4 linked regions of the Elephas maximus indicus genome follow. The protein of the gene in region 1 interacts with the protein of each later gene in a pairwise test. Links are inferred from orthologs where the notes say so. Each region holds a gene or a part of one and is shown on either strand. Other genes may lie near its edges. The genes, in order: EDA, PLN, DOLK and MAL.

Evidence for each region.
Region 2: the proteins of EDA (region 1) and PLN interact in binary tests that used the Homo sapiens proteins (3 or more experiments, as listed by UniProt). The link is inferred for Elephas maximus indicus from reciprocal best matches to the Homo sapiens genes EDA and PLN.
Region 3: the proteins of EDA (region 1) and DOLK interact in binary tests that used the Homo sapiens proteins (3 or more experiments, as listed by UniProt). The two-hybrid records come from large-scale screens. The link is inferred for Elephas maximus indicus from reciprocal best matches to the Homo sapiens genes EDA and DOLK.
Region 4: the proteins of EDA (region 1) and MAL interact in binary tests that used the Homo sapiens proteins (3 or more experiments, as listed by UniProt). The two-hybrid records come from large-scale screens. The link is inferred for Elephas maximus indicus from reciprocal best matches to the Homo sapiens genes EDA and MAL.

The regions. Positions count from the first base shown.
Region 1 is NC_064846.1:100,697,167-100,704,654, reverse strand, and holds the start of EDA (ectodysplasin-A), read left to right. Parts: upstream 1-4,488; 5' UTR 4,489-4,792; coding exon 4,793-5,176; intron 5,177-7,488. UniProt on the Homo sapiens protein: Cytokine which is involved in epithelial-mesenchymal signaling during morphogenesis of ectodermal organs. Functions as a ligand activating the DEATH-domain containing receptors EDAR and EDA2R. May also play a role in cell adhesion.
Region 2 is NC_064819.1:185,739,830-185,747,790, forward strand, and holds the start of PLN (cardiac phospholamban), read left to right. Parts: upstream 1-4,942; 5' UTR 4,943-5,053; intron 5,054-7,961. UniProt on the Homo sapiens protein: Reversibly inhibits the activity of ATP2A2/SERCA2 in cardiac sarcoplasmic reticulum by decreasing the apparent affinity of the ATPase for Ca(2+).
Region 3 is NC_064827.1:79,930,348-79,936,999, reverse strand, and holds DOLK (dolichol kinase), read left to right. Parts: upstream 1-3,980; 5' UTR 3,981-4,311; coding exon 4,312-5,928; 3' UTR 5,929-6,148; downstream 6,149-6,652. Other genes in the region: nucleoporin NUP188, read right to left, coding at 3,865-3,896. UniProt on the Homo sapiens protein: Catalyzes CTP-mediated phosphorylation of dolichol, the terminal step in de novo dolichyl monophosphate (Dol-P) biosynthesis. Dol-P is a lipid carrier essential for the synthesis of N-linked and O-linked oligosaccharides and for GPI anchors.
Region 4 is NC_064835.1:89,430,112-89,437,860, reverse strand, and holds the start of MAL (myelin and lymphocyte protein), read left to right. Parts: upstream 1-4,731; 5' UTR 4,732-4,996; coding exon 4,997-5,089; intron 5,090-7,749. UniProt on the Homo sapiens protein: May be involved in vesicular trafficking from the Golgi apparatus to the cell membrane. Plays a role in the maintenance of the myelin sheath, and in axon-glia and glia-glia interactions.

The sequences.
Region 1 (7,488 bases):
AGGAGAAGACTGGTAGGGGAGGCCAAGGAAAGGACTTGGAGTGAGATGGAGAGTTATTGGAGGATCTGGAGCAGATGAGCTACAGGATCTGACTTACATTTTGACAGAATGCCTCTGACTACAGGCTTGATGTTGTGTGCGATTGAATTGATACCGATTTATAGCAACCCTATGTGACAGAGGAGAATTTCCCCATAGGGTTTCTTAGGCTGTAATCTTTACGGAAGCAGACTGCAGAATGCCACATCTTTCTCCCATGGAGCAGCTGGCAGATTCAAATCACCAACCTTTCAGTTAGCAGCCCAGCGCTTAACCATTGTGTCACCAGGGCTCCTTCTACAGGGTAGGGAAGGACAAAGTATATCTATCTGATGGAAGTGGAAATTGAAAGGAGGAAGATAGATATATGGGTTAAGAGTTCAGGGGAAGGTGGTGGGAACATATAGGCCTTATCCCAAACTCTAAGGATGCAAAAAATGGGGCAGTTTTTGGCAAGGGCAAAGTAGGTAGATGCTTTTCTGTGTTTCTGCCATGTTCTTGAGTATTTGTATGTTTTTCCTCTCATCTCCTTTTGACGAAAGGCTCCTGGACAGCAGGGACTAACATTTACTATGCATTTATTATGTGCCAGACACTTTCACTTATAGCATCTCATTTAATCATAGCTAGATTAAAAAAAAATAATATTGTCATCTCCATTTTCCAGATGAGAAAACTGAGGCTCTCTGCAAGACAGGTAAAACTCACTTGTCCTAGGTCACACAGCTGGTAAGTGAATAAGCTAAGATTCAAACCAGGATCTAATCCAAAGTTTATATTCCTTCCAACTATCTGTTTAACATTAAGTGGATCAGAGAGTCAACTCTGTGATCTCTATGTCAATTATTTGTTCTGCAGATTAACCAGAGCTAAGAGGTACTGTATTTCAAAGCAGTTTCTGCCCAACTCCCTAACATATTCCACTCAATTGATGGGTATTCAGGGTCTTCAGTTTAGCTGACTTATTTTAATATTAAGCCCAAATTAGAAAGGAAAACTTGATGGGGCAGAAAGGCCAATGAGTTACTATAAACCAATTATATTTGAATTTCTGGATTACTTACTTTTCTGGATTATTCACAACCACTATGGTAGCATTAGTTTTATTTCTTTTGCATAGTGCTATACAGTTTGTATACAACAGGTGCTTCTTAAGTGATACTGACAGGTATCCTTTAGCCCAGTTCCCTTTTTGGAATTCTAGGTAGTCTAGGTTACCATAGCAGACTTCATGCCCTATTCATTTGATAAACAATACTGGTGCCTGCTACGTCATAGGTGCTCTGCTAGATACTAGTGATACCCAAATAAAAAGAACACCGTTCTTACCATCAAGGAACAGCTCAGGATTTAGTAGGGAGAGAGCCATGTGAAAAATTAAAAATACAATATAGTAGGTGATATCATTGAGCTATGCTCAAGGTACAATCTGTTTGGAGTGGGCTGTGGAGCCCAGAGGGAACATATGAGTTGATTCTTGAAGAATTTATAAGGTTTCCAAGGTGGTGATATTCCTGACAAAGAAAAAAGCTTGTGAAAAGGCACAACTGTGACAAAGCAGTCAACTAATTTAGTATCGTGGGAGCATGTGTTCCCTGTAGGATGGTGGAAGATGAGGTTGGAGAGGCAGTTTGAGACCAGATTATGAGTACCTTGTAGGTCACGCTAAGGAGTTGAGATCTTGTCTCCTGTATTACAGGGGTCAGACAAAATAAGTGAGTGACAAGGACAATATTAGAGAGAAGAGGAAGGAGATGGGGGTGGGGCGGGTGACTGTGGAATTTGATAGCCTGTGTTTGTATCAAGGGGTCAGTTCTAGCTGAATGCAGCCATAAGGGAATGTGGACACTCTGGGCTTATTTATTTGTTTCTTTAAACAGAAACAGGAAATCTGGATTTTTTTTTTAATGTGAAATGTCCTGATTTCTAATTTTTTTTAATTCAAACTTTTAGCCAACGCTGCATCAAACACAACACAACAATTTGCTGGATGTAGCCTGCGGGCTGTCATTTTAAGACCTGTGGTGTAGGTAATGGGGTACTTATGGAAGCATAGACACTAACTGTGGAAACACTTAAAAAAATGACCATGTACATTCCTCACTGGATTGCCCCAGACCAACAATTCTACTGCATATAAAAACATATGTTCTTCCTCTGGGGGCTGTTGAGTTGAGCAAAGTGAGGCACAAGGTCAAATACAACCCCCAGGGCTTCTGAGGAGGATGGTGCAACTCAGGGTCTCAGTTAAGCTGTTAAAAACCTGATAGAACATGGTAAACTGAGACCAGTATGGCCCCTGAGCATGACCACCACCACCAGAGATGGCTTCATTTGTCCCCTTTTCATTTTAGGGGAAACAGGGACAGCCTCTTTGAACTGTGTACGCAACCAAGTCAATATAGTCAGTTACAACACAAATAAAAGACAATGTTATAGCTGTTCAAAATCCTCATTTTACAATTGGAGAAACTAAGGCCCCCAAAAGCACAGTGACTTGCAAATTAGTGGCTATGCCAGATCTCCTGACTCCTAGTCTAGCATTATTTTGAATAATCCTGGGCTGTGATAATTAAGGTAAATCAGCCTGGCAATTTCCCCAGCAGCTGGAGTTCCTGGACTGGACAAGCAGGACTTGAGAGCAGCTGTTAAATGTTTTTTTGTTTTTTTTCCTGTCTGTATAATGAAACCCTGGTGGTGTAGTGGTTAAGAGCTATGGCTGCTAACCAAGAGGTTGGTAGTTTGAATCCACTAGCTGCTCCTTGGAAATCCTATGGGGCAGTTCTACTCCGTCCCATAGGGTTACTATGAGTTGGAATTGACTCTGCAGCAGTGGGTTTTTTTTTTTTTGGTGTAATGATGATATTCTTTGAAAACTTTATATTTCATGGGTTAAGGTTAATGAGAGGACACAAAGATGTTGTTGAAGCACGGAAACCATTCACAAAGTGTGTGGAAGAAAAGTTGGCTGTGGCTGAAATATTTAAGACCTATGGTCTCTGTGCTTTCTGGACTGACCTCCCACCAGATGATTTTGGTTTAGTTTTGTTGTTTTCCTTTTGTCTCTCTTCTATTTTACCGCTATTTTTCTCTCCCTCCCACCAGTCTAGGTTATAGGTCTTCCCATCCACACTCCTGGGCATTGTTGAGCCTCCTTGGTGGCATTCGTGATGGCTTTGTCATATCACTGAAACTGAGAATTACTTGCTTCTCAATTAATAACATGGGAATGGGATTGCAAGGTGACCAAGAAGCATGAATATTTCCTTTCTACGGTCATTAAAAAAAAAAAAACAAAACTTTCTTTTCCACCACGGTCATTTAGCTCTCTATAATCTCCAACTAACTGTTGTTAATTATGACTTTTGATTTAACTAATCCTTTACAATCTTCATATCAGGATCTATTGTTCTGACATCTGCCCACTTTTTTTGTTGTTGCCTTGAATCCTTTTCCGATTGGTGCAGCTGTTAAAGATGCTGCAGTTGCAGCAGAGTACATCTGGAACATTTGGCTGACTTGTTGAACTTCCCCTAGGGACTGCTCCAGGGGAAGGAGAGGAGGGGTGGAGGGGCCAGAACAGTTGCCTGCAAACAGAGATGCCAGTACTGTCTGGCCATTCTGTGGACCACCCTTGTAAAAATCAACCTCATTCTGGCTCTCAGTTTCCCAATTTGCTCATTGAAGTCACGTGTTCTCCACTGAAAACTCCTGCTGCAACTGAAGAAGAGAAACTATTCTGGTTGTGAATTCTCTTATATAGCACTTTTTACGAAGTAAAGGGATTTTATACATGTTTGCTGAATTAACATATAAGAAATCTTAGGGGACTGGTTTGACCTTCAGGGGGCAACATCACTTCAGTCCTGCCTGGCACAGGTCACCTTCTTCCTCACTTAGATTGAGCCCCCAGACTCAGTCCAGGAGGGAGGCTGCCTGAGTCACACCCCATTCCCACTCCCTTTGGCTCCCAGGCTCCCGACTCTTCTTTTCTTCTGGCACGCCAGTGGATTACAAACACAGCAGACATGGTTTCATTCCAAACCCAGAACTGTTTTAATTAGTTTAACCTCTGTTAAACGCTTTGAAGTTCGAAAGTAACAGATAAGTGCTGAATGATGTTATTAAAAACTAAAGTTAATTGCAAGCATTTCTGTTAATCCTCGTTTCTGCCTTCTTTTCTTTGCTCTCCTCTTTTTCCCCCAAGGTTCCCAAATTCTTCTCAGCCTTCCCCTCCTTCCTTCTCCCCCGTACTGGCGCTAAAGGGTTAAATAGGGGTGGAGTCCAGGGATGAACGACAGCGGCAGTAACCTACCCGTACCGGGAAAGCGGGAAGAGCTGGGTGGGGCTGCCAGACAGAGGCTAACCCACACGCCTCCAGGCCCCGCCCCGCGGTTTGAGGCGCCGGTGGAACGACAGGGGGCGGAGCACCCAGACTTGGCGGGACGGGTGGTTGGGCGTACCAGCAGCCCCTTGAGGGATGGGGCGGGGTCGGTCAGGGCCTCCTCCTTCACTCCTTCGGCGGGCAGAGCCGCCCCTCTCTCCCGCCCCTCCTCCTCTCTTTCCCACCCTTAGGAGTGGAGCTGCACATGCGGCTGCTCCTTGCTGTGTCCCGCCCAGCCACCGACGCACAGGAACGGGTCCCTGGAGCCCCCAGCCGATGGCAGGACAGTAGCCGCCTGTCAGGGGTCCTGAACGGTTGAGGCAGACGCGACGGCTCCTGGGCCTCAGAGAGTGTGTGTCTCCGGAGGCCATGGGCTACCCAGAGGTAGAGCGCAGGGAACTGCCGCGCCAGCGGGGAAGCCAGGGCTGCGGCTGTCGCGGGGCCCCTGCCCGGGCCGGCGAAGGGAACAGCAGCTGCCGGCTCTTCCTGGGTTTCTTTGGTTTTTCTCTGGCCCTCCACCTGCTGACGTTGTGCTGCTACCTAGAATTGCGCTCCGAGTTGCGGCGGGAACGGGGAACCGAGACCCGCCTTGGCGGCCCCAGCACCCCTGGCACCTCTGGCACTCTGACCAGCCCCAGTGGCCTCAACCCTGACGGTCCCATCATCCGCCACCTCGGGCAGTCGTCTCCTCAGCAGCAGCCGCTGGAACCCGGAGAAACCACACTCCCTCTCGACTCCCAGGACGGGCACCAGGTGAGTCACCTAGGAGGGGCGGCGGCAGCAGAGGCCCCCTTCCCTTGTGGATAGGGCGGGGGCCCTCCACCACAGGGCCCTGGGAGGACTCTGCCACCTCGAGCCAAGTTAGAGGGCAGGACCAGGAAGGGGGCAGGCCAATGAGGGGAGGGGTTGCCCCAGGGCAGGTTGTTCTAGGTCCCCGGCCCAGCTCACCCAGACTCTATGAATCCCTTGAATTGGCAACTCCGTCCGGTGCCTGCCTCTGCCGCCCCCGGCTACGGGCTACCTCAGGGAAAGTTGGCAACGCTCTGGCCCGGGCCGCGGAAAGGAGGTGCCCGCGCTGCCCCTCTGAAGGGTTAAGCGCGAGCAGCTTGGCCCCCTGGTCTTGGTGAGGTTCTCTGCCCACGGTGCTTGTTTTTTCGTGTCCAGGGCTGGTGGCAGCACTAGTAGACTCTCCTTTGGAGTTGGAGGTATAAACAGCTGTAATAAACGCTCCACGCCCGTTGAAACAACAGTTAACTGTATTTTCAGCGCGGGGTCATTGTGCGCTGACCAGTCGTGGGCTTGTTCACACTTACCTGCAACTTGAGACTGAAAGCCTGGTGGCGTAGTGGTTAAGTGCCACAGCTGCTAACTAGGAGGTCGGCAGTTCGAATCCACCAGGTGCTCCTTGCTGTTCTATTCTGCCCTATAGGGTCGCGATGAGTCTGAATCAACTCGACGGCAATGGGTTTTCTTTTTTTGGTTTGTCCTCAGTGCTCTAGTGAGGATTAGCGCCCCTGAGGAATCCTGGTAGAAACATGCGGTCTTGTTAAACTACTTTTGAAGAGCAATTTAAGAAAATCTATGGAAATAAAACTCACCCTTTGCATGCTATTTCTAGCTTTTTTTGGGGGGTGAAATGGGGGAGGTGGGTGTGAAGTGTCGTCACTATTTCTAGCTTGAGAACAGGAATTTATTGATGGGATAATTTCTCAGGAGTAGGGTCGCTGTGAGTCGGAATCAACTCCATGGCACACAACTACAGCCTCTCAAGAGCAGTTTATTTATATTCTATCTTTATGGTGTTTGTGCCCTGATTAGCAAACTTTGGTGTTTGTTTTTTTTTTTTTACTTTCTCTAGCTCTTTATTCAAGTAAACTTAGTATAATTAAAGTATTGTCTCAATGTCTATGTTTTGTCTTAATAGGGAAAGCATCCAAGGATCTTTTTGAGGTGGTTAAAGAATAGCGAATTTGTACCTCTTGAGGAAGAGGGCAAGTTGTGCAAATAAGTTCCTTGAGGTTGGGGAGGCAGGCCTTCTATATTTACTGCCACATTCAAAGTAATTGTCATAACTCTGTAAACATTATTTGTGCTAATTTGACCACCTAGCCAAAGTTGTACTCTATAGCCCATCCCATTGCCTTTGAACGACTCTATAGAGGCATCATATTTATAATACTGTAATGTTAAGACTGACACATTTTTTACATTGCACATTGAAAAGTTGCCCTGAGCCTTGAAATGTCTTGCTTGCACACTCCAACTTATATAACAGCTTATCAAAGAAGGGAATCAGCAAACATGCTTCTCATACTTGAAACTTTAAACAGTGTGACTAAATGATAATTAACTAGGATTTTGGCTCCTTTATCTACCCATCCCCCCTACCAATGCCCAGCAGAAATATTTAGCAGCTGAACAATGAAATTCTGTGGAAAGATGAGGGAATTCAGCTTCTTTAGTCAAATGTGGCCAAACATTTTTTGGCATTCAGAATGGAGAGACACATCTTTAAGGACTGAGGTTAACAGAACAGCTGTACTCTAGGGCTTTTGTAATGACATGGGACTATCACAGGTGTGTAATGGAGTTTCTTGCCTGCTTTTTGCATGGCATTTTAAATTGCTCTGTCAGGTTTAAACACTGATTCCTATCTTCTGTCCTTTATTCTTTCTGTTTTAATGTTTTTGAGCAGTAGAAGCAAGCACACTGGCTGTTTATATTTATTGACATCAACTGGAGTCGATGTTTTTTTAGAGTTACGTGGGGCCATATGAATCAATTTTATTTGATCCTCTAGGAGGACATGTTAGGCCCTGGGTGAGGAGTGACTTGGTCAAGGTCACCCAACCAGGGCGACAACTAGTATGGAAGTTGATCTCCTGACTTGCAGTTCAGTGTTCATCCCCCTATGGCATACTATCTCCTGGGGACTCTTTTCGAAGGGGGAGTGGAGGTACATAGTAGATTTTTTACAAAGTAGAGGGCTCAGATCTGCACCATTTTCTTCTACTCTACCTACGTTTTGACCAGACTAAATTTAACCATGTATTTCTTATTCTTCC
Region 2 (7,961 bases), on another chromosome or scaffold:
GGGATCTGGGAAGCCTAACCTAAAAAATCTCCCTATCTTTCAAGTCTTGTGTGTATCACAAAAATTCATTCAAAGCTTACATTTGACTGTGTTACATGTGTAAATAGTAAAATGCTTTAATTTAGCCATCGGTTAATTTTTTGTCAAAAAGTTTCCAGAAAAACTGGTCTACCTTCCCTCTCTTTTTTCTACCCGCCACCCACCCAATCACATTACTATTAACAGGAGTTTAAATACTCAATGCAAAAAAATTACGCAATCATGATATTCTTTACATAAAGTTGAAAACAAGCAAAATAAAAATAAATACTTTTAAGAAATTACAATGCCATAAAACTATATAAAAACAAAGGGAATGAAATAAACCCAGGATCCAGAATGATCATTTGCTTGGGTAGGGGATGATGAACTAGGCAAGGTCCTGTGTGGTTAGGTATAAATTATTGCTAACAACTGCCTTTTGTTTTAGGTGGTGACTTCACAAGTGTTTATTACGTTATTAAAAATAACTAACTTATACCAAAAAAGCAGGTCATGCATGGACCAATGTTAAGAGTGCATAAAGAACCATGTATCATTATGAATCCAACAAGGAAAGAAAAAAATTGAATTAAAAAAAAATGGCTCAATATAGGAAGATTGGGCTTAGGGTATGACCTTCCTTCACTCTCACCCTCCAAACATATTTACATTTTTAAATAATACGAAACAAAGCTATTTTCTTGGTTATTCTACTCTTGGAGCCCTGGTGGCGCAGTGGTTAAGAGCTTTGCTGCTAATCAAAAGGTTGGCAGTTGGAATCTACCAGTTGCTCCCTGGAAGCCGAAGGGGGCAGTTCTAATCTGTCCTACAGGGGCACTATGAGTTGGAATCAACATGACAGCAACGAGTTTGGTTTTTATTTTTATTCTACTCCTATCCAACATCTCAGTCATTCACATCTTTCTCTTCATTCCCATGCTGAGCTTGAAAATTGCGAAGGATTTCTTAGCTGTCCTTAACACTTACTTCTGCAGCATAACTTTATCACCTGTCAATCTTTCCCCCATTTTTTCTTTATTCATTCATGCAATCAGTACTTAAGCATTACCAGGAGCAAGATTCTACACTAAGTAGTAGTATTATAAAGAATAAGGGCGCAAATAAGAGTCATTGGATCTCCTGTCAGGGAGCCTGTAATCTAGTCTACTCAGACACATTAATAAGCAAAATAAAAAGTGACAGTTAACAACAGAGATACATGCAAAATTGTTCCGCATAACGGGAAGGGGGAAGGGAGGGCTTCGCAGAATGGGTAAATTGAAACAGCACTTCCATGGGAATAAAGGTTGGTAAAGGCATTCCTGCAAAACAATAAAAAAAAAAAAAAAAAAATACCGAGGCTTAAAATAGCACTGCTTGAAAAGGGCCACCAGCAGCTGTATATAGGGCCAGAGTACAAGGTACAAATGTGATAAGAGATGAAGCTAGAGGGAAAGGGCTGAAAATACAAACTAAGAGGTTTGGATTTTAGCCTGAGCTGCCTGCCTCTCTCTAAAAAGGGCTGTTCCATAAAACTACAGAAACATCCTCTGACACTAGAATTCTTAATTTTGTTGTGTGTGCCACAGACCTCTTTGGCAGACTGCTGAAGCCTACGGATCTTTCCTCGGAATGTTTTTATATACACAGAGCAATTGCAAATAATTATGTAGATACTCCACCCTTTAGGTAGTGAATCGTAATTATGGTCTATACGTAATAACTTTTTTCCAAAGAGTGAAGTATAGAAGAGGGCAAGGAGAGTAACTTCACGGTGGAGAAACCTGACAAACTACACCTCATTCAGATGATCCGGGTCGACATCAACAGTGATATGTGCTGCTGACTACCCTTGGTGTGATGTGATGAGATGGTACTTTACCTCTCTAGTCTCCCGGAGAATCACATTACTCTAGTCTAACTGTGAGAAAAACATCAGATAAATCCCAATTGAGGGACATTCTACAAAATATATGATCGGTGTACTCAAGACTGTCAAGGTTTTGAAAAGCAAGGAAAAGACTGAGAAACTGTCACAGTCAAGTGGAGCCTAAGGAGATATGATTGCTAAATGTCATGTGTAGCCTGGATGGGATCCTAGAACAGAAAAAGGATGAGAGAAAAATGAAGAAATCTGAATAAAGTATGGGCTTTAATTAATAGTAACATACAAACATTGGTTGTGACAAACATACGATACTACTTATTACCTGTTGCCATTGAGTAGATTCCGACTCCAAGCTACTCTACCCGACAAAGCAGAACTGCCCCATAGGGTTTCCAAGGCTGTAATCTTTACGGAAGCAGACTGTCACATCTTTCTCCTGCAGCCATACTAATATACATATAGAGAGTTCCGTTTGGCCTTATAATACATAATCATAATAATAATAAGCTAAACCAAAGGAAAAGGGTAAGCATTGAAGTTACTCACTCTTATACAAATCAGAAAAATAAGTTTCTTTTCTCCATTTTCCAAGTCAGACACACATAGTTCTTAGAATCCTTCTGAGATGTATGTATGCCTTTGAATGTTTTTAAGTAAATTTGCAAAAATGTGTGATATCTAGGACATATTTTATCCCACCTATGGAAGTTTCTTACTCAACTAAGTATTATTAATTCTATCTTCCTAGAAGTGCTCAAGCTACAATGATCTATCCCCTAAGTTTCATTTTCAAACAAATATGTAACTGCCGGACAAACTTAAAGCAGATTTTCTAAAAATAGCAACAAATCTTCAATAATTCATCCATTTCCATCTTATATGTTTCTTAGCTGATACATGATATTCTGTAAATTATTTTTAACAAAATGCCAGTCTATCAGGGAATTATAACTGTACAGATCTGGATTTGAATCCTCGTCTATTCCTCAGCAGTTGTGTCGTCTCTCACATATTATTACACACCATTTTAGGCTTCTAGGTTTCATATTATCAGTCATCACTGACAATTCATAGCAATAAGAAGTCCTTATTATGTAAGACTGAAAGAAAAAAATGCTTATAGAGTGCTGAGCACAGCAGTGTCAAACGTTATTCATACCATTTCTTTAATTTTATGTTTACTTTTCCCTTAGTATTCACAGAAGGTCTTTGCTAAAATATTATTTTTCACTTAGTTTTGGCTGATTCTTAAATAGAGATTTGCTCCAGAGATGGATTTTATCTTTCTTTGGGAGAAGTCAAAATCATCTCCATTTAAGGACACATAAGCAGCTTGCTGCTACACATTTTAGTTACCCATAAAGAAAGTGAAGCAGGCTGAGTTCAGTCCTCTATAAGCACAGATATTTTTTAAAGAACCTTTTCTTCATAGATCTTTATAGTTACGACTTATGAATAATGAATAATGAAATGAATAAGAAAACAAAGTCAAAAGAGAAATTCCCAGCTCGAGCCACTATTTTTCCAGAGCTGTTTTAAAATAGCCCTTAAAATTAAATACTGATTTTTCTTCTCTATAAATGCTAACTGCATAATAAACAGCTCTTCCAAAATTACATAAGAGATTTAAGAATTAGAACTGCAGGTGTGATACTTTAAGTAAATCCAATATAAAAACTAAAAATTAGACTAACAGAAAACTGACACCTGGCTTTTCCTAAGAATTTCCTTCCCTAGATCTACTATAAACTAAACTGTTCTACTAAGTTCAAAGTATCATTCCATTTATTAAAATTTATCGAGATAATTTTCAGGAAAATAACTGCTGTATTCAATGAAGCATACCCTTTTAGAAATACTACACAACATAAATTTCCAACACATGCATACCTACGTCAATAAAGCCTTTTTAACTAGGATGCAATGATTAGGAATCTGATTATTTCATTTTTTTACTAGAACGTCACCCTTGATACTGAGTCAGTTTACTCAAAAATTCAGAAAGCTTCTACGGTAACTTAATGCAGCTGGTAAAAAAAAATCTTAAATACTTAAATTTGTAAATTGTACCTTTTCTGGGGATAATATATATCAGTTTAAATTTCATGTAATGAAATTTTGTTTTGTTTTGAAACAGTGAAATACAGTGTTTGGAAATATAGTGTTTAGAAATACAGTGAAACCTGTGAGAGCTGGAACTAGCAGGGACTGCCTTGTTATTCTGGGTCTCGAAAGTCTTCTGCCTTTGACAAGGTACAGTCACCACTTTTCTAGTGCTCTCCATTTTGTGGAAAATACTTGCGTTTTCCTTCTGTAATGAGTTTCCACCTTACATGGGTTCTGGCTTCCGCAAGTTTTACTGCATATTTTAAAGCCCAAATTGAAGAAAACATAAATAAGCTAAACACATTGATGAGTCTTACTTTATCTATAATAAAAGATAAAGTTTATTTTTTAAACCAAAAGCAGTTAGTAGCCTGGTTTTCTTAAACACATTTCCTCCCCGCATACACACACAGGTATTGAGCAGCAACAACAAAATAAGACAAAAAAAAAGTGATTCTGTGAAAATGTTTAATTTTTGTCTTACTAACATTATAAAGCTAACAGTATAAAGCTGCAGTATTTTTTTTTTAAAGCTGTAGCAACAACAACTTGATGAAAATTGTTTGAGGCAAGTCAGTATTATTATTCTGACTCTATTAAAATTCATATTACTATGACCATTTTAGCTCTTCAATATTATCAACAGACATTTTACAGTATACAACTCTCTCTAAGCCTGAAGACACATGAAACCTTAAAGAGAGCTTTCTGAACACCACCCAAAACTTTTTTTTTTCATTTATCTGCCATATACTTTGTTAAATTAAAAAATGAAGAACACAAAGTGTTAATGACCTTTCCATGCCTAAAGTAAGACAAATGAAGTTCTGAAGAGTTTGGTTGTGATAAAACTACAGCTAACCAATCATAACTTCAGAATTCCTGTGTGACATCATAAGACCTCCCTAGAACACTTTTTCTCCTCCATGTACTTCAATTGTTCCCATAAACCTGGTAACAGAGTCAGAAAACTTCCCAGCTGACCACCTGTAAGACTTCATACAACTTAGAATACAGAGTACCATACTGGCAGCCAAGGTAAGAAGTAGAGTTCACTGATTTTGGTAATTTTCATTTTCTAAATTCAAACTTACTGAACTTTGAAAAAGCAGTTAATCACATTTTGTGAATTTTAGTTCAAAATTAGACAATAACATGTTTAGTATAACAAAAAGTTTAATTTCTAAAAAAATTCACATCCATTCAGTGACAGAAAGAATGAGCATAAAGGACTTAAACTTTGGAATTTGGGTCATATTCATCTTTGAACCGGGTTATTGGTTTGTCAGCTTATTTTAACTTCCACTTTTATTTTGCTTTTCAAATGTGAACTTCTGCCAATGTAAAAATCTTCCCCGTTATGTTTCCATATTTGGTGGTGGTGGTGGTTTAATTTCTCCATGTAAAAACAATGGCTTTATTTTGTTATTTGTTACTCTGCTGAGAAACAGGGCAGGACTGGTTGTCTATTTACATCTGGAATACTATGAGCAGTCGTGTGACTGCCCATCGGCGTGCCTGTTCCCCTAGGACATTGTGATTCCTTACCGTGAATAAATATAGTGGATACAATGGAACTTTAGAGTATGTAATACGAGCTACTTTTAAAATGCTCTTGAAGATTTTTTTGTCCTCTCTATAAAGTTCAGGCAACTTTTAACACATTTAAAAACCCAAGCTTTTAATAAATTGAGTTACTTATAAATTCAAGAGTATATTATAAAAAATAAGTTTAGAAACTTTAATATAACACCTGCCAAAAACACATAGAAAAATCTTTTCAGAATTACAGAATAATAAATTCAATACTTTCAAAATAAAAAAGTCATTTTGGCAGCAAAAATGTTCCTCAATATTTCATTTGAGCCAATCTGATGAAATGTATGTTTATTCTGCCTATCAATGGATATAGTTTTGTCAAGTGTTTGCCAGTGTTCCTCAGTTTTCCTCTTCCGCATTTAAAGAAAAGAAAAAATGCAGAGGAATGGAGATGCTGCAATAAATATTATGACTTCTATTTCAATTCTACTGTGTTATAATCCTCAATTTAATATATATATGAAATGTTTCCTCATTCTTAAATCTCTACCAGTCATAGCATAAAGAATATGACATAGCTTTTATTTCATTATTTTTATTTTCATACATATGCAAAAATAAAATTTACCTCTAGAATTCTCAGTTCCTCTAAGTGTTAACTTTACCGCTCACTACAAGTAAGAACTTCATAATTCTGTAAGCAGCTTTCCTTAAGAATGCAAAAATATTTCTAATTTTTTTCTACCACTGAGGCACCCCAGTTGCTTCTTAATATCTTCTATGAATGTTCTCCCTTTCATATTACATAAGTCACTCAATGCATGTGTTTTATGTGCATATTTATACATTTTATTCAAATATAAAATTACATTCTCACACTTCAAATGAGGTCACAAGTTCCTTTATTGTACCAGAACTTCACCATATCACATACTGCCCAAAAAGTAGACAATTTCTAAAAACAGCAGAAATGCTCTACTAAAGTTACCCTTAGCTAAATAGTGTGTCCGGGTTAACGGAACTTCCGTAACTACAGTGACTGTTCAAATTTCAAACGTATGCCCTCCTGCCAGACATTAGGCCCCAACTAGTTTGTTGCTATGAGTTGGAGCCGACTTGATGGCACCTAACAACAACACGACAGTTCACTGCTGTCACTACGAGGTAAAACTTAAGTGTTGCCTTTATTTATAAAGACATGTGGTTTAAGCCTAAGTGCTAAAATTTTTTTTAAGTATTAGGTGAAATACAATGAAAAAATGTGAAGGATGTCTAAACTGTGAAAAACTCTGTTTTAAAACTCTGTGATAGAGCTAGAGTACTTGCTTTAGTAAGAGGAGCCACATCACTCTTATTTCTAAAAACTCTCAGATATTTTAATAACATCTTAACAGACACAAAGGAAAATAATATTCCAGAAGTAAACTTCATTTGATTACATATTTATACATATTCTTTCCTAATCTCACTAATTAATTGGTGACAAGAGGAGAGTATCTGTATAAATCACTAAATTAAAGAAGAAAAAACTAAAGGTTTCAAATGTGAAGGTTAGAGTACCTCTCTAAATTAGTGGGTTTTTTTTTTTTAAAAACAATCCTGGAAATGAGGGTCATTAAAACTTCCTTCTTTATTTTTGAAGAACAATTTTCTAAATGCACTGTGTATACAAATACCCAGTTTGATCCTCTAACTCCATATATACTACACACAGCATCTCCATTTTACAATTTAGGAAACGAATGCAAACAGGTGAACTGCCAAGGTCACAGAGCTAGGAAATAAGAAAGCACTGGTTGGAACCTAGGTTTTATGACTCTAAACCACATGATCATCCTATACACCAATCAACATGGGTTAAAAATAAATCATGACACTGGCAAAGCAAAATGGACTTCAAATACTGTAACTGGCAATCTAAAAGGCAAATCCAGAGGATGCAAACTTCTATTTTAATTTTAAACCATTTCAAGTTAATTTATGCATCAGGCCTTACGCCCTTGATAGCCTAAATAATACTCTCCTGATTAAACAATACACCCTGGAAGGCAAAACTCAAAAAAATTGCACACTTCAAAAAACAAAAACACATGCCACGATCAATCAAAACAAATTTTTCTTTTATTTTACTTGTTTCACTGCCAAAATCTCATGCCTTTGATTCATTTAGCTGCCTTGATAACTGGAATAAAGGTTAATTCCTCCTCAAAACTTTTCACAAAATCTACACTTGGGTACTTTCCTTCAGTCCATATTAAATTCTCAGTTTTCCTCAGTTTCATTTCTATCTACCTCATTCTACCATCTAAATATCCAGCCCTTTGTTCTGATATGCTTGATCAGAGAAATCCTGCTTTGTTATTCATGCTATGAAAACCAATAACTTTTACCTAAATTGTGAATTAAT
Region 3 (6,652 bases), on another chromosome or scaffold:
CACAGGAATCTACATCTTATAACAAGTATGCCAAATGAGTTCCTAAATCACCACTGCTCCAGGGCATCAATTAGCCTCAGAGAAGCAGACAAAAGACTTAGTCTATTGGCTCTCTCTGCCTTTTATCTGTTTGATATATTAGTTTTGGGGTTTATTTTGAGAAAAAGATTCTGCTACTAAATGAGACTAGAAACCACTCCCCTGGAATGAGGCAGTAACTTTTACATTTAATACTCGAAAAAAAAAGAAATTCTCATTGGTAAATCCATGTCATGTGATGGTCTTTATACGGTGTCAAAAAATAATGCTGTCGAAAACTTGAATTTTTGATAATAAGAAAAGTAAGTATCACGCAATTATGTCAGTTGTTGCTGTTAGCTGCTGTTGAGTTGGCCCCCAATTCATGGTGGCCACACATACAACAGAACAAAACGCTGCCTGGTCCTGCACCATCCCCATGATTAGTTGTATTTCTGACTGTTGTTTTCCACAGGGTTCTCAGTGGCTGATTTTCAGAAGTAGGTAACCAGACCTTTCTTCCTAGTCCATCTTAGTCTAGAAGCTCTGTTGAAACCTGTTCAGCATCATAGCAACATGCAAGCCTCCACCGACAGAGGGTAGTGGTTGTATAAGAGGTGTGTTGGCAAGGAATGGAACCCAGGTCTCTCGCGTGGATGGCAAGAATTCTACCAGTGAACCAACAGTATCTCATAATATGTCAGGCACACTGTCTTACTGAATACTGACAGCTTGTTTATGAGGCAAATACTGTTGTTATTCCCATTAGCTAATCTGGAAACTAAGGTTTAAAAGTGGTTAAGTAACTTGCCTATCACACAGCTAATATACTACAATGGAGCCAGGGCTTGAACCAGGTGCTCTGCATGACTCCAGAGCTCAACTACTACATTTCACTGCCTCAGGATGCACCCAAGAATTCATGCTGCCAGCAAGCAAAGATGTCAACTGAGGTGTTCTACAATAGCGGACCATACCCTTAACGTAGTAGCTGGCACAGATATTTGAAAGAATAAACATCAAAGAAAGGGAATGATATGGGTCCCTTTTAGGCTTGCAATCTAACTGGAACAGAAAAATCAAGAAAAACAATATATGCAGAAGTACCAACAGAAGGGAGAATAAAGGAGAAAATGGTAGAGTTATCAGGAACAAAATCTATGGAAGTAAGTCTAACTGGTTTCCTCAATACCTACATACTCACTGGCCTAGGAATAATGGGGATACAAATAAATCTAAGACCTTTATGATGCTAAGCTTAAGGGATGAGAACGGCAAAGGATATTAAATACACATTACACAATCGGCAAAAAGGAAGAAAGTACTAAACGGCATGATACTAACAACTAATACAAAGAAACTTAACCACATAGAACAGAAAAGTCAGAAGAGAGAGGGATTGCTGGGGACTGATTCAGTGATTGACAAAAGGCTTCATCTCAAATTGGGACCTAAAGGCTTGACTGAAACTTAGAACTGTGAAGCCCACCCAAGACTCGGGGAAATAGCTTCTATATATATTTCCAAGAAACTATGTGCTAATGTCTCTCATTTACATGCATAATACTCCTTTCAGCGAAGTATGTGGGGGAGACACTAAGGCACAGATTAAATAATTTGCCTCAAATTCAAAGGTAAAGTTTTAAAAACTTCACTATTTCCAGTCCAGTGTTCCAGCAAACATGGAACGTCATTCCTACAAGAGCTGAAGTTAATGGAGCCTGAAAATTATCTTCTTTAGTCATCCATCTCATTGGAAAGCTATGAGTGAAGGCTACTGGGAGTTAGAAATAACTGTTTCTACAATTCAGTCCTTTGGATAGAAAGCTGGGACACAGCCAAGCTACCTTGATGAGATATTTAATAAATAAAAGCTACCACTGCCCGTGGACGCTCTAACTTCACAGAGGAAGTATACCTCTCTTGTGTGAACTGAGATTTAAGCTCAGCAGCAAAAGCTTTCCAAATTGCAGTTCTATTTTTGTTTAGCACACCTACACCATTCAGACTAATTCAAACACTTTAACTGAAGAACGCAGGAGTTACAAGAAAAGTGCCAATATTCAAACTTTCTGCCAATTCCTGAGTGACCTTTCCAAAAGATTGATTTAAGGGTAGTATTCCTTTTTTTTTTTTTTTTTTAAACTAATGCCAGCTTGTATTAACATTCACAATGACTTTTCCTACAAAAAAAAAAAAAAGCCTCACAGCCACTTCAATACTACTCTGGAAATGATCTGCATTTGGAGAGACAGGTTCAAAATGGTGAGGTCGCTTGTCTGCAGTCATCTGCAAATCTGAGGCATCAGGAAGAGAATTAAGTTTTCTCTTAGTCCAGACCTACAGGCATTTCAGACAGAGGACTGCTGCTCAGTATAATTCCATCTGCTACTGAATGTGACTTTTGGCACACACACACAAAAAAATCACTCTCCTGATACAAGCCATGAGCAAAGCAGTGCCTAAGAACTCTAATGCCCTTTCTTCCTCCTTAGGATGAGTTTGGTAGGTTCCCCAGCATGAACAAGTCATCTTTCAGGCAAACCAATGCTTTCCTAATGTTCCTTTTCATTAAGGAACATGCTTTATTCTACAGGAGCCATAACGACTATGAAACAACCCTAAGAAAAGGAGGGCACAGTGGCTACAATGCTGTCCTGATACAATGGTTGGCATGAAACGACAGAGGAGAAAAAAGCAAACTGGTCCTCACAAGGTACAGAGGTAGTCCAGGGAAAATTCCAGAGGAGAAAAATCTCACTTTCAGCTGGGAAATTAAAGTGATGCCAGAGAAAACGGACAATATTTGTAATAAATACTAATGGCTTTTTTTTTTTTTAATTACATGCTATTCCTGGGTACGGAGGATACAGTGGGGAATACGACAAAAAAGTGGGGAAAACATTGTTGGCACTGGGAATATAAGCGCCATAACTACTTTGACTAGGGAAGGTGGGAGGGAGTAGAATGGACGAAACCTCTTCAAGGTGGAATGTGGAAGACAGGGGTGTGAAGGTTTCATTACAGTTCTGGAGTCGAACAGACTCGGATTTGAATCCTCCCTCACTTTACCCCTTAGCTAGCAGAGCGGGACTTCTGACTCATCTGTAAAGGGTACCTCACAAGAGCTGTGAGAATTCAAAAGGATCTCACCAGTGTCTGGCAAGAGCAAACCCTCTATATTGAAAACTGTATTATTCTTTTTAGCGTTTCGTCTTCTTGCTCCCAAAGCCTAGAACAGTGCCTGAAATCTCTTGGGAGATTTGAACACATCGGCTGACCGAATCAATGAGTAAAATAATGAATAGATGGGTGGATGAAAGGCTGAGCGGAGAATGAGGACAAAAACTACAAGGAGGTGGCTCTGTGCAACAAGAGAGCACATGAGGAGAACCTGAGAGGCAGGGAAGGCCCGGGACAGGTCACCGGGGGGCTGCGGCGGGGACGTGGGGGGAGGGGGAGGGAAGGAGAGGGTCCTCCAGGCGACCGCAAAGCGCCCGTTGCGCCTCGAGGTAGCGTCACAGCCAGACGAGGAAGCGCTAGTGGGGCTCCAAAGGACACACGGACGGGAAGAGGGGAAGAAGAGAAAAGGACTTGGGTGAGGAGACGGGAAGCCCAGAACTGAGGGATAAGGTGAGGAACCGGCCCTCCGCTTGGAGAAGTCCCTTCAGCTCCCCGCGCGCGGGGACCGTTTGCACGTAACCGCTTCCCGTCTCGGCGCCGTCTACCCAGCCGGGCTTCGCACCGCCACCGCCGCCACATCCCGCTCCCAATTCCCGCCCCGCTTCTGCTTAGTTTCGAGCCCGCGCCTCACAGCCAACCCCGACAACTTGGCCCGCTCCGCACCTCACACACGGCTCGCCGGCGGCCGCCGCCATCTTCCCGCGCGCGCGCCCCAGCCCCGCCCCCAGACGCGGCGCCCACGTGACCGCTCGCCTGGTACCTGACGCGTGGGGCGGAGCTTCCGTCACGTGAGTCCGGTACGGGGCGGGGCCAAGATGGCGATACCCGGGGAAGCGGAGAACCAGCGGCCAGGGTGTCCGCGGTCGTGAGGAAGGCGGCCGAGAGACGGTGTCTACTCCGTAAATTGGAGGCGGTGGAGAGTGACGGGACTCCAGCTTTCAGGCCGCAGAGAGTGACCTGCAGTGGAGTTCTGTCCTTACAACTGGAAAACGGAGGGAGAAGGTTACTGGCTGGGTGAAACCGTTGTCCTTTGCTTGGCGGTGCTGAGGGACCAAGAGTCCAAGGCGTCCCTAGTCACCCCGGCTTTCCGGGGGCCTCAAGCCTGGAGACATGACCCGAGATAGCGCTCCTCCGACCCCGGGGGCGGGAGCTCCGCTGAGCGGTTCGGTCCTGGCAGAGGCGGCAGTGGTGTTCGCCATGGTGCTGAGCATTCACGTAACCGTGTGGGACCGATACTCGTGGTGCGCTGTGGCCCTCGCAGTGCAGGCCTTCTACGTCCAATACAAGTGGGACCGGCTGCTCCAGCAAGGAGGCGCCGTCTTCCAGTTCCGAATGTCTGCCAACAGTGGACTACTGCCTGCCTCCATGGTCATGCCTTTGCTCGGACTGGTCATGAAGGAACGCTGCCAGGCTGCAGGGAACCCACACTTTGAACGTTTTGGTATCGTCGTAGCAGCCACTGGCATGGCAGTGGCCCTCTTCTCGTCAGTGTTGGCGCTGGGCATCACTCGCCCCGTGCCCACCAACACTTGCGTCATCTCGGGCTTGGCTGGAGGTGGCATCATTTACATCATGAAGCACTCGCTTAGTGTGGGTGAGGTGATTGAGGTCCTAGAGGTCCTGCTAATCTTCGTGTACCTCAACATGATCCTGCTGTACCTGCTGCCCCGCTGCTTCACCCCTGGAGAGGCAGTGCTGGTATTAGGTGGCATCAGCTTTGTGCTCAACCAGCTTATCAAGCGCTCTCTGACAGTGGTGGAAAACCAGGGGGACCCAGTGGACTTCTTCTTGTTGGTAGTGGTGGTAGGGATGGTGCTCATGGGTATCCTCTTCAGCACCCTCTTTGCCTTCATGGACTCAGGCACCTGGGCCTCCTCCATCTTCTTCCACCTCATGACCTGCGTGCTGGGCCTTGGTGTGGTCCTGCCCTGGCTGCATCGACTCATCCGCAGGAATCCCTTGCTCTGGCTCCTTCATTTCCTCTTCCAAACAGATACCCGCATCTACCTCCTAGCCTATTGGTCTCTGCTGGCCACCTTGGCCTGCCTGGTAGTGCTGTACCAGAATGCAAAGCGGTCATCTTCTGAATCCAAGAAGCACCAGGCCCCCACCATCGCCCGGAAGTATTTCCACTTCATTGTGGTAGCCACCTACATCCCAGGTATCATCTTTGACCGGCCACTGCTCTATGTGGCCGCCACTGTATGCCTGGCAGTCTTCATCTTCTTGGAGTATGTGCGCTACTTCCGCATCAAGCCCCTGGGCCACACTCTGCGGAACCTCCTGTCCCTCTTCCTGGATGAACGAGACAGTGGACCACTCATCCTGACCCACATCTACCTGCTCCTGGGCGTGTCTCTTCCCATTTGGCTGGTCCCCAGACCCTGTACACAGAAGGGTAGCTTCGGGGGAGCAAGGGCCCTAGTCCCTTACGCTGGCGTCCTGGCTGTGGGTGTAGGCGATACTGTGGCCTCTGTCTTTGGCAGCGCCATGGGAGAGATCCACTGGCCTGGAACTAAAAAGACTTTCGAGGGGACCATGACGTCTATATTTGCCCAGATCATTTCTGTAGCTCTGATCTTAATCTTTGACAGTGAAGTGGACCTAAACTACAATTATGCTTGGATTTTGGGGTCCATCAGTACTGTGTCCCTCCTAGAAGCGTACACCACACAGATAGACAATCTCCTTTTGCCTCTCTACCTCCTGATATTGCTGATGGCCTAGTTGTTGTGCAGCAGTAGTGATGGAGGAGACAGGAACATGGGGAGTGTGAATGGCCCCCACAGCAGCCAGCCACTTGGGTATGAAGAGCCAAGGGGTGAAAAGAAGATTGGACTTTTGGGTGGTTCAAATTTAAAATAAAAATCAAAGCTTTCTTGGTTTTAGTTTTGCTAATGTTAAAAAAAAAAAAAAAACAAAGAATAGTGCAGCAGCTCAAAGAATTCGAGTGTGCTGCAGACCCCCTCCCTCCACACACACACACCTAGCAGTCCTCAGAAGGGGCAGGAGTGGACACTGGAGGGAGGAAGTAGAGCATAGGGGTTAATGCTTCAGGTTCTGGTGTCAGACTAATCTGGTTAGAATCCTTGGTTGTGGCACTTAACTGTGTGGACTCAGTTCTCCTGTCTGCAAGATGAGAATTAACAGCGCATATCTCATGGGGGTGTTGTGAGGATCCAGTGAGATGAGATATGTAAAGTGTCCAGTCCAGGGCACGATGAGCAATCAGTGCGGGAAAGTGTCATTATAACCTGAGACCAGGTTCATCGTAGCAAAAAAGCCATGCGAGCCAAGGGGGCTTTATCAGTTGTACTTGGAGACCCGAGCGATCTTTACTTTTACTTCCCTGTTTCATTTGGGGTAGGAAGAACTGAAGGGGGGAGGTAGGGTCAGCTTGTTGTGTGTATGAAGAAGAGGATCAGGTCCTGCACTGATATTTTGTTTCAGC
Region 4 (7,749 bases), on another chromosome or scaffold:
TTTTCCTTCAGCCCCACAGCTGGAAGGACGGGCCTGTTTTTTGTGACAGCAATCAATGAACCCAAAGATACACATAGTGTCACCGGTGTGCAGTCTGCTGGCTCCTTGGCTTTCCAGAACCTGGCTCGTTTTTTCCCTCCTTTCCTCTCTCCTGCCCTTCTACAAGCACGCATCCCTCCTCCATGGACCAGGCACCGTGCTAAGCACGGAGGACCGAGATGTGAATTGGCATGTTCTGACCATTCTCCATAAGAACGTTCCACTCTTCTGCACAAGGCACGCCCTCCTCCTGATTTTGTATTCTGCTTGGTTGATGTTTTATCTGTTTTCTGATCTCAGGCTGTTACTGGCTTCTGGGAACCCTAGACTAAGTCAGAGACTCTGGGATGGTCCTGTACCCGTTTCCTTTGGCTCTGTTCCAAGTGCTTGGCACTGGCCAAGTGTTCCAAGGGTTAAAGGCACCTTGGCACATGTGGGACTCTGCTCCCTCCCCCCATAGCATCACAGAAGAGAACTCACACTGGCCTTGGCAAAGGTCTTGAAAGACCCACCCAGGATGCCTGCAGGTGCAACAGCCTCACCTCCACCACAGAGGCTCACACAGGCTGCTCCCATGGCACCCCACTGCCCGGCACTTACAGAATTTGAACTGATTGGGGGAATGAGGGAGCCTGGTGGCGCCATAGTTAAGGGCTCAGCTGCTAACCAAAAGTTCAGCAGTTCAAATCCACTGCTCCTTGGAAACCCTATGGAGCAGTTCTGCTTTGTTCTATAGGGTTGCTTGAGTTGGAATTGGTCCACAGCAACGGGTTTGTTTTGGTTTGCAGTGGAATGAGGGCAGGGTCTCTACTCAGTTTATGGTTTTATCTTCAGGGCGGGCTCAGTGCTGGCCACCCGAGAGGTGCTCCAAAATGGAGCCAGCCTGATCCAGCCTTGTTGTAGAAACACCAGCCCATGTTCCACCCCTCAGCCTTTGGCCCACAGTGACAGGGAAGCACCTAGTGCAGGCCCAGCTTAGAGAAGGCCAAGTGTGGATAGACTCTGGACTTGATTTCCCCTTTGGATGGAATCTTCCCAGAGAGCAGGGACTCTGTCCCTACACCCAGATTCCGCCCACAATACCCAGGCCATGCCAGTCCCTGTTGCACACTGAGGATCTCAGGGCTCAGTGACGACTTTCCCAGGTGGTGGCAGAGCGTCCGGTCTCCCTGGTCCTAGGAAACATGAACTAGATGGGGGTGGGGAAGACGAGAGGATAGGCTGTGCTCGTTGCCCCTGGGGGCAGCAGGCACATGGTACCTCATGGGTCCCCTCGCAGCTCAGTCCTGCGAGCAACCGCCACTTGTGGTTTTCAAGGCTGAGTGTTTTATGCAATAGGCACAGAGGCAGTGGGGACAGGGCATGACTTTTGGAACGAAGAGACTCGATTGCCAAAACTGTGGCCCTGCAGATGCCTGCACTTGGCCTGGGCCTGTCACCTCCCCACTCGAAGCCTGTGTGGTGGGAAACGCCTACCCAAAAGTCTCTGTGAGTTAAAAGAGGTCCTGTGGGCACTCAGTAGGCACTCTGAGGCTGGCTCCCCTCCATCCTCCTGAGCCCAGGCAGGAGTGCCATTCATCCATCCACCCAGCAGGTGTCTTCACTGCCTCGTGCCATGGGTGGAAAGCAGCAGCTATGGAGAACACATCTGCTCAACAAATAAAACCCCTTGGGAGAGTAAGGGCCTGGCATCCTCATCCATCAGCTGGGACGATGACCACCAACTTCCCTTGTGTTTCTGGTCAGGAAAAGAAAGGTCTGGAGCTCCCTCAGCTGGGCGGAGACATCTTAGGGAGCAAATGTACACTGTACGAGGCTGACATGAGCATTAAGACTGGACTTGGGAGGCTGTCGATGGTCTGTACGGAGCATGGCATTTGGCTAACGATTGCCCACCTTGAGCGTGATCTTAATCAGCGCTTGCAGCTGCAGAGACACATGGCACTTAGGTTCAAGTTCGAGCTCCAGGACTCAGCAGCTGTGCTGTGGGGCTTTCCCTCAGCTCTCTCCTCTCTAGTCTCCCTCCCTATAGCACACAAAAGCTGGAGGGCCACTTCCTACCTTGTACTCACAGAGCAATCATGCTTTCTAGTTTCTACCTCACCTAGGGTTCTCAGCCTGCCCCAGGACATGTTATTCTTTCAACAGGAGCCCCGGACCCGCCCTAGTCTATTAGGTTGACCACCACATTCACACCCACTGTGTTGCTAGGAAGACTGAGGACATTGCAACAAGTTATTATTGGCTGAGGTTGAAGGTTTTTTGTTTTGTTTTTCTTTAGATTAAGAGACTTTTTTTAAAAAAGCAGTTTTAGATTTACAGAAAAATTGAACAAAAAGTTCAGAGAGTTCCCAAATCCTCCTTCTCCCTCACTCACGGTTCCTGCTATTACTAGCACCTTGCACTGGTGACATGGGTTCCTTATGATTGATAACCAATATGGAAACACTGTTATCAACCAATGGCCTTAGTTTACCGCAGGGTTCACTTCCCTTGTTGTACAGTCCTGGGGGCTCTGACAAATGCGTCCTGTCCGTGTCCACAGTTACAGCGCCATATAGAGAGTTTCACCACCCTAACAACGTCCTGAGCTCCACCTGCGCACCCAGGTTGTTTTTTCACGTCCTCCTGGAAATCAAAGTACGGTCTTGTTACAAATATGAACAACCTAAACCATCAGCAACTGTCCCAGGGCACCTGTTGTAAAATGAAGACAGACCCACCTCCACTGACCAATACTCTTTACCTTCAAACGGGGTCCTCCTACTTCCTCCTCTCGTCAGGTAAGGACCAGGCTGCAGTCCACACTGGCTTTGGGCAGATGTTGGCTGAGTACCTACCATGGCTGGATCCTCAGCTGGGTGGCAAGGATGTGCTGGGCAGACGGACAGACGGGAGGGGAGGAGGACGCCTTTCACAAGGCAGAATCTGGTCAGGAAGATGAACATCAAGCACAGGACTACAGATGAGATGAAGGACCTTTTTTGATTTTTAATTAGTATGTACTGGTAGAGGCACCCTGCTGTTAACTGAAAGGTTGGCAGTTCAAGCCCACCAGCCACTCCGTGGGAGAAAGATATGGCAGTCTGCTTCCATAAAGATTACAGCACTGGAAACCCTATGGGGCTGTTCTACTTTGTCCTACCGGGTCATTATGAGTCGCAATTGACTTGTCGGCAAAGGGTGTGGTTTATATTCTGGTAAAGAAATCCCCAAGCAGCTTTGGCTGGATTGGCTCAAGGGTTACCTCACCCACTGCAGGCTGCAGCTTTCGCTGGCAGCCTTGCTTTGATGCTTGTCCCCACCATGTCTCCTTGGGGAGAAGGAGATATCCTCCCAGGGGGCAGCTGGGGGTAACTAACATACTGTAAGATGCCCTGGTGGGTTTGCAGCCCTGGGGGCCGGGGAGAGGGGTGGTCCCTGACAACCCCACAGCCCATTGTGTCCATCACAGCTCATTCGGCAAGAGAAGCTCGTACCCTGGGGATCTTGGGGTGGGGGACGGGGGTTGGGGGAGGATACAGGTCCTGACACACAAGGTCAGCAGCCGAGGGAGGCTCACAGAGGTGTGGGGAGATTTTCTCATTTCAAATGCCTGGTTCCTCTCCGTAAGTATCATAGTGGTCAGCTCGTGGGCAAGAAATTTTTCTTTGGAAAACTTGCCCTAGAATTTACAGACTCTTCCTTAGAGACCAGGGAGGAAAAAGAGATGTTTAGAGGGGAAAGGGTGAAGGCCCCACTCGAGAGACAGGGGAACACCCCGTCCTGCTAGCAGCAGCTGTGAGTGAAGCCAGGAGAGAAGTGCTGGGGGGTCTGAGTGGAGGGCTGAAGGGCCATTTTCCTCTATGCATGACGGATCATGGGGGCAAATTTTAGGCTTCAGGGTTTGTAGGACTTTGAAAACTCGGAAGAAGTATTGAGGGTGCTAATTGTTTAAAAACAAAAGCAAAAAAGAATAAAGAAGTTCTGATCCAGGAAAAACAACAGGCAAAGGACATGGAGAGGAGAGACCATGCCACCGGCTGAGGTGGGAGGCCACCTCCTCTGAGAAGGAATAAATTCCTCCAGTGATGGCCGTTCTGTGCCCTGGATCCAACCAGCCCTGCCCCACCACCGCCACCACCAGCCTTCTTCCGGGCCTGGCAGCTGCAAAAAGGAGCCTCTGACAGCCAGGCCGACGCCCAGCCCCAGGACCCAGCAGACTGGTTCTGGGTGCATCCTTCCCAGGGTCGGGCTCCGAAGATGCAGGGAGAAGAGGCCCGTGGCCAGAGCGGGTCTCAGCGGCGTCCCTGAAGACCCCCAGCCGGCAGCCTGGGGCAGGACTGGGGACCCGTCCACCGTGAGCCTGAACTTGGATGTCAGGCATTTTAAAGCGCCCCGAGGAAAGATGAAGAGACCCAGGTTAAGAACAGTTAAAGCAATGGCGAGCCGGGGCTGGCGAGTTGCCATGGAGGGAGGTTTCAGAGGGAAATCCTAAGGGTCAGTTGTACTCTGTCCTATAGGGTCACTATGAGCCGGAATCAACTCGACCCGCAACGGGTTTGGTTTTGGTTGTTCGCGGTTTTCATTCTTAAGGGGTGGTGATCACCTACGAAGCGTGCAAAACTTTCGAAGCACCTCGCTACAAAGGCTTTTTTCCTGCCCCCGCGGGAGGTGGGACACGGAAGTGGATAGGTCCCTCGCCCAGTTACGAACGCCCACAGCGCGAGCTCTGTGGGCTTCTGGGCGGTGCCCCGGGCTCTCCGACTGGATCCCCAGGGGCGCCCCTGCCAACTAGGTAGGGGAGGGGGCGGGCGGTGTCCGGGCTCCTCCCTCCTCTGCCCCCGGCTGCCGGGCTCTTAACCCGCGCGCGGGGGCGCCCAGGCCACTGGGCTCCGCAGAGCCAGCGAGCGGTCAGCGCGGAGCCGGAGCCCGAGCGGCGCGCGTCCTGTCCAGCGGCCGACGCCAGCACGCCGACATGGCCCCAGCAGCGGCGTCGGGGGGCAGCTCCCTGCCCAGCGGCTTCGCGGTCTTCACCACCTTCCCGGACCTGCTCTTCATCTTAGAGTTTGTGAGTGGTTCGCGCGCCCCGCGCCCCGATCGGGAAAGGGGCGGAATGGGGAGCGCCGGCAGCTCCCTCTGGGCACCACACACCCGGCTATCTATCGGAGCTGGATGCGCAGGCTGCGCTGGTCCCCGGGGCATCGGGATGAGGGGATGTTTAAAGGGGCTAGATCCGGACAGCCCGCTCCCTGAGTTGTTTGGCCACCTTCTAGACCCACGAGAATGAAGGAAACAGTCTGCGGGAGTTGAGTGGAAAGCCGAATTCGAAACACGGCGACGGGTCAGGGTTCATTTGTTGCGCGCTGGTTACCAAAGCCGCGCGCTGGGACCTGCTTTCCAGGTGGCCCGCAGAGCAGGTTCGTTTCCTCGCCTGGGTTTCCTCCTTGTTGGAGAGCAGCGTCCTAGCAGGGGCGTTCAGGTTTTTCCGGGAGATGGTCTCGTTTTTTTAAAAATCAGCAAAAGAAACCTGAGTATTACTTACCGAGCTTTGGAGACTGGGTGGGTGTCGGAGGAAGAGCTGAGTCCGGGTTTTTCTCTTCTGCTCTTCTAAAGCTTCTAGCTAGTAAACATATCTGTGACAACTTTGATCTGGGAACGATCAAACAGAGGCTATTGTTTATTGCTCTGCAGCGGTTCTACCCCGTGTGTAGGGGGCAGGGGAGGTGTTGGGGAGGCTGGTGAGAGAAGGTCCCCTTGCCCTGGCTTACCCTGAGCCCTCAGAAGGCCTTGGCACCTATGGTTTTCCCGACTGCGACAGAGCGGTAGAGCTGCCACCAGTGACTAAAGCGAAAGGCCACTGTGGGCTCCTTGTGTGCGAAGGCTACCAGCCTTCTTCAGCCTTAGCTCCCTGGGAGTCACCAGCCCTTACCAGGTATGGTGGGGCTTTGTTATTATGCTGGTGTGGTGCATTGCAGCCGCAGGGACACGTTTCCCTGTGCCCCAACCACAGAAGCGACAATGTGAAGACTTGATTGGGAATGAAAAAGTCAGAACCTGGTTGTTTAAAAACGGGACCCCAGCTCCTTGTCTGATTTATAGGCAAAAGGGTGTGAATGCTAAAGGGAGCAGAGGACTGGGCTGGCGTGCATCAGGTTTCCTCACCTGTGGAGCATTTCGGGAAGGAGAAAAGGGTTCTCCAGTAGCCATCGAACTCGTGGCAAGAGTTAAGCCCAAACTTAGGTCTGTCTAGAGTGACTTCAGATCCTGGGGAAAGCTAAAACCAGCAAAACCAAACCCACTGCCGTCCAGGTGGTTTGGACTCATAGTGGCCCTTTAGGACAGAGTAGAATTGCCACACAGGGTTTCCAGGGAATGGCTGGTGAATTTACTGCCAACCTTTTGGTTTGCAGCCAAGCTCTTAACCACTGGAGATAGCTGGAGTCAAGGAAATGACATGTAGAAGAAATCCAGGAAACCACTGCGCCTAGCCCCTCCATTTATAGATGGGGACACCCAGTGCAGAGTAGGCAAGGACTGGCCTAAAGCCAGCCAGCTTTCCAGCCAGGCACTCTGCCTCCCTGCCATGGTCCTTCCATGTTCAAGGCTGCCAGGTAAAACCTGGAATATGGCCAGCTGAGCGTGTTTGGGAAACCCTGGCAGCAGAGTGGTTAAGTGCTATGGCTGCTAACCAAAAGGATGGCAGTTCAAATCCACCAGGCCCTCCTTGGAAACCCTAGGGGACAGTTTTACTCTGTCCTATAGGGTCACTATGAGTCAGAATTAACTCACCAGCAACGGGTGTTTTTTTAATGGAGTGTGTTTGACACAAGCACTGGGGCAGAAGGAGGGACCCCTCCCCCCTCCACACTCTCACACACACACACACACACACACACACACACGGCTGGCCCACATCCCTGAGCCCTGTAGCACCCACTGGAACATTCTTTTCCCTAGTGGCTCATTTCTATCAGCTCTTAGCCTGTGCTTGCCCATGGCTGGATGTCCACGGTCTGGGCATGACTAAAGGGTTGTTTCCTCAGAGCACGCTGCATTTAAAAAGGCAGTTTCGTGACCCAGAGAGATCATGTAACGGGGCAGAGAGATTTTTAAGTAAAAAAGGTCTTCCTGGTGTCTCTCAGGTTGCCCTAAGCAGCAGCTTACCCTGCCTTTGTAGCTGTTTGGGGAGCATGATAGCAAGAATTGTGGAGAGATGTGGTAGTGGGGCTTCGTGCTTTTGCAGAAAACTCTGGTGCTCCCTCCTCTTGCCCTGGGAGGAGCTGGGCTCAGGTTGCAGGCAGGTGTCCCGAGTCTGGCCTCAAAGAAGGAAGGCTTCCCAGCGATGCCTGCCTCCTGGCAGCACAGCTCAGGGGAAGGAGTGCTGCTGGGGGAGGAATAGCCCAGCTAGGCAGGGCGATCTGCGGGGGAGGGACAGCAGGGTCCCACCTGCTATGGACTGAAATGTGTGTTACCTTGGCTAGGCCATGATGCCCAGTATTGTGTGGTTGCCCACCTTTGTCTCATCTGATGTGATTGTCTTATGTGTTGTAAATCCTACCTCTATGATGTTAATGAGGCAGGATTAGAAGCAGTTATATTAATGAGGCAAAACTCAAACTACAGGATTAGGTTGTATTTTGAGTCAATCTCTCTTGAGATAATATAAGAGAGAAGTGAGCAGAGAGACAGGAGGACTTCATGCCACCAAGAAAGCAGCGCCGGGAGCAC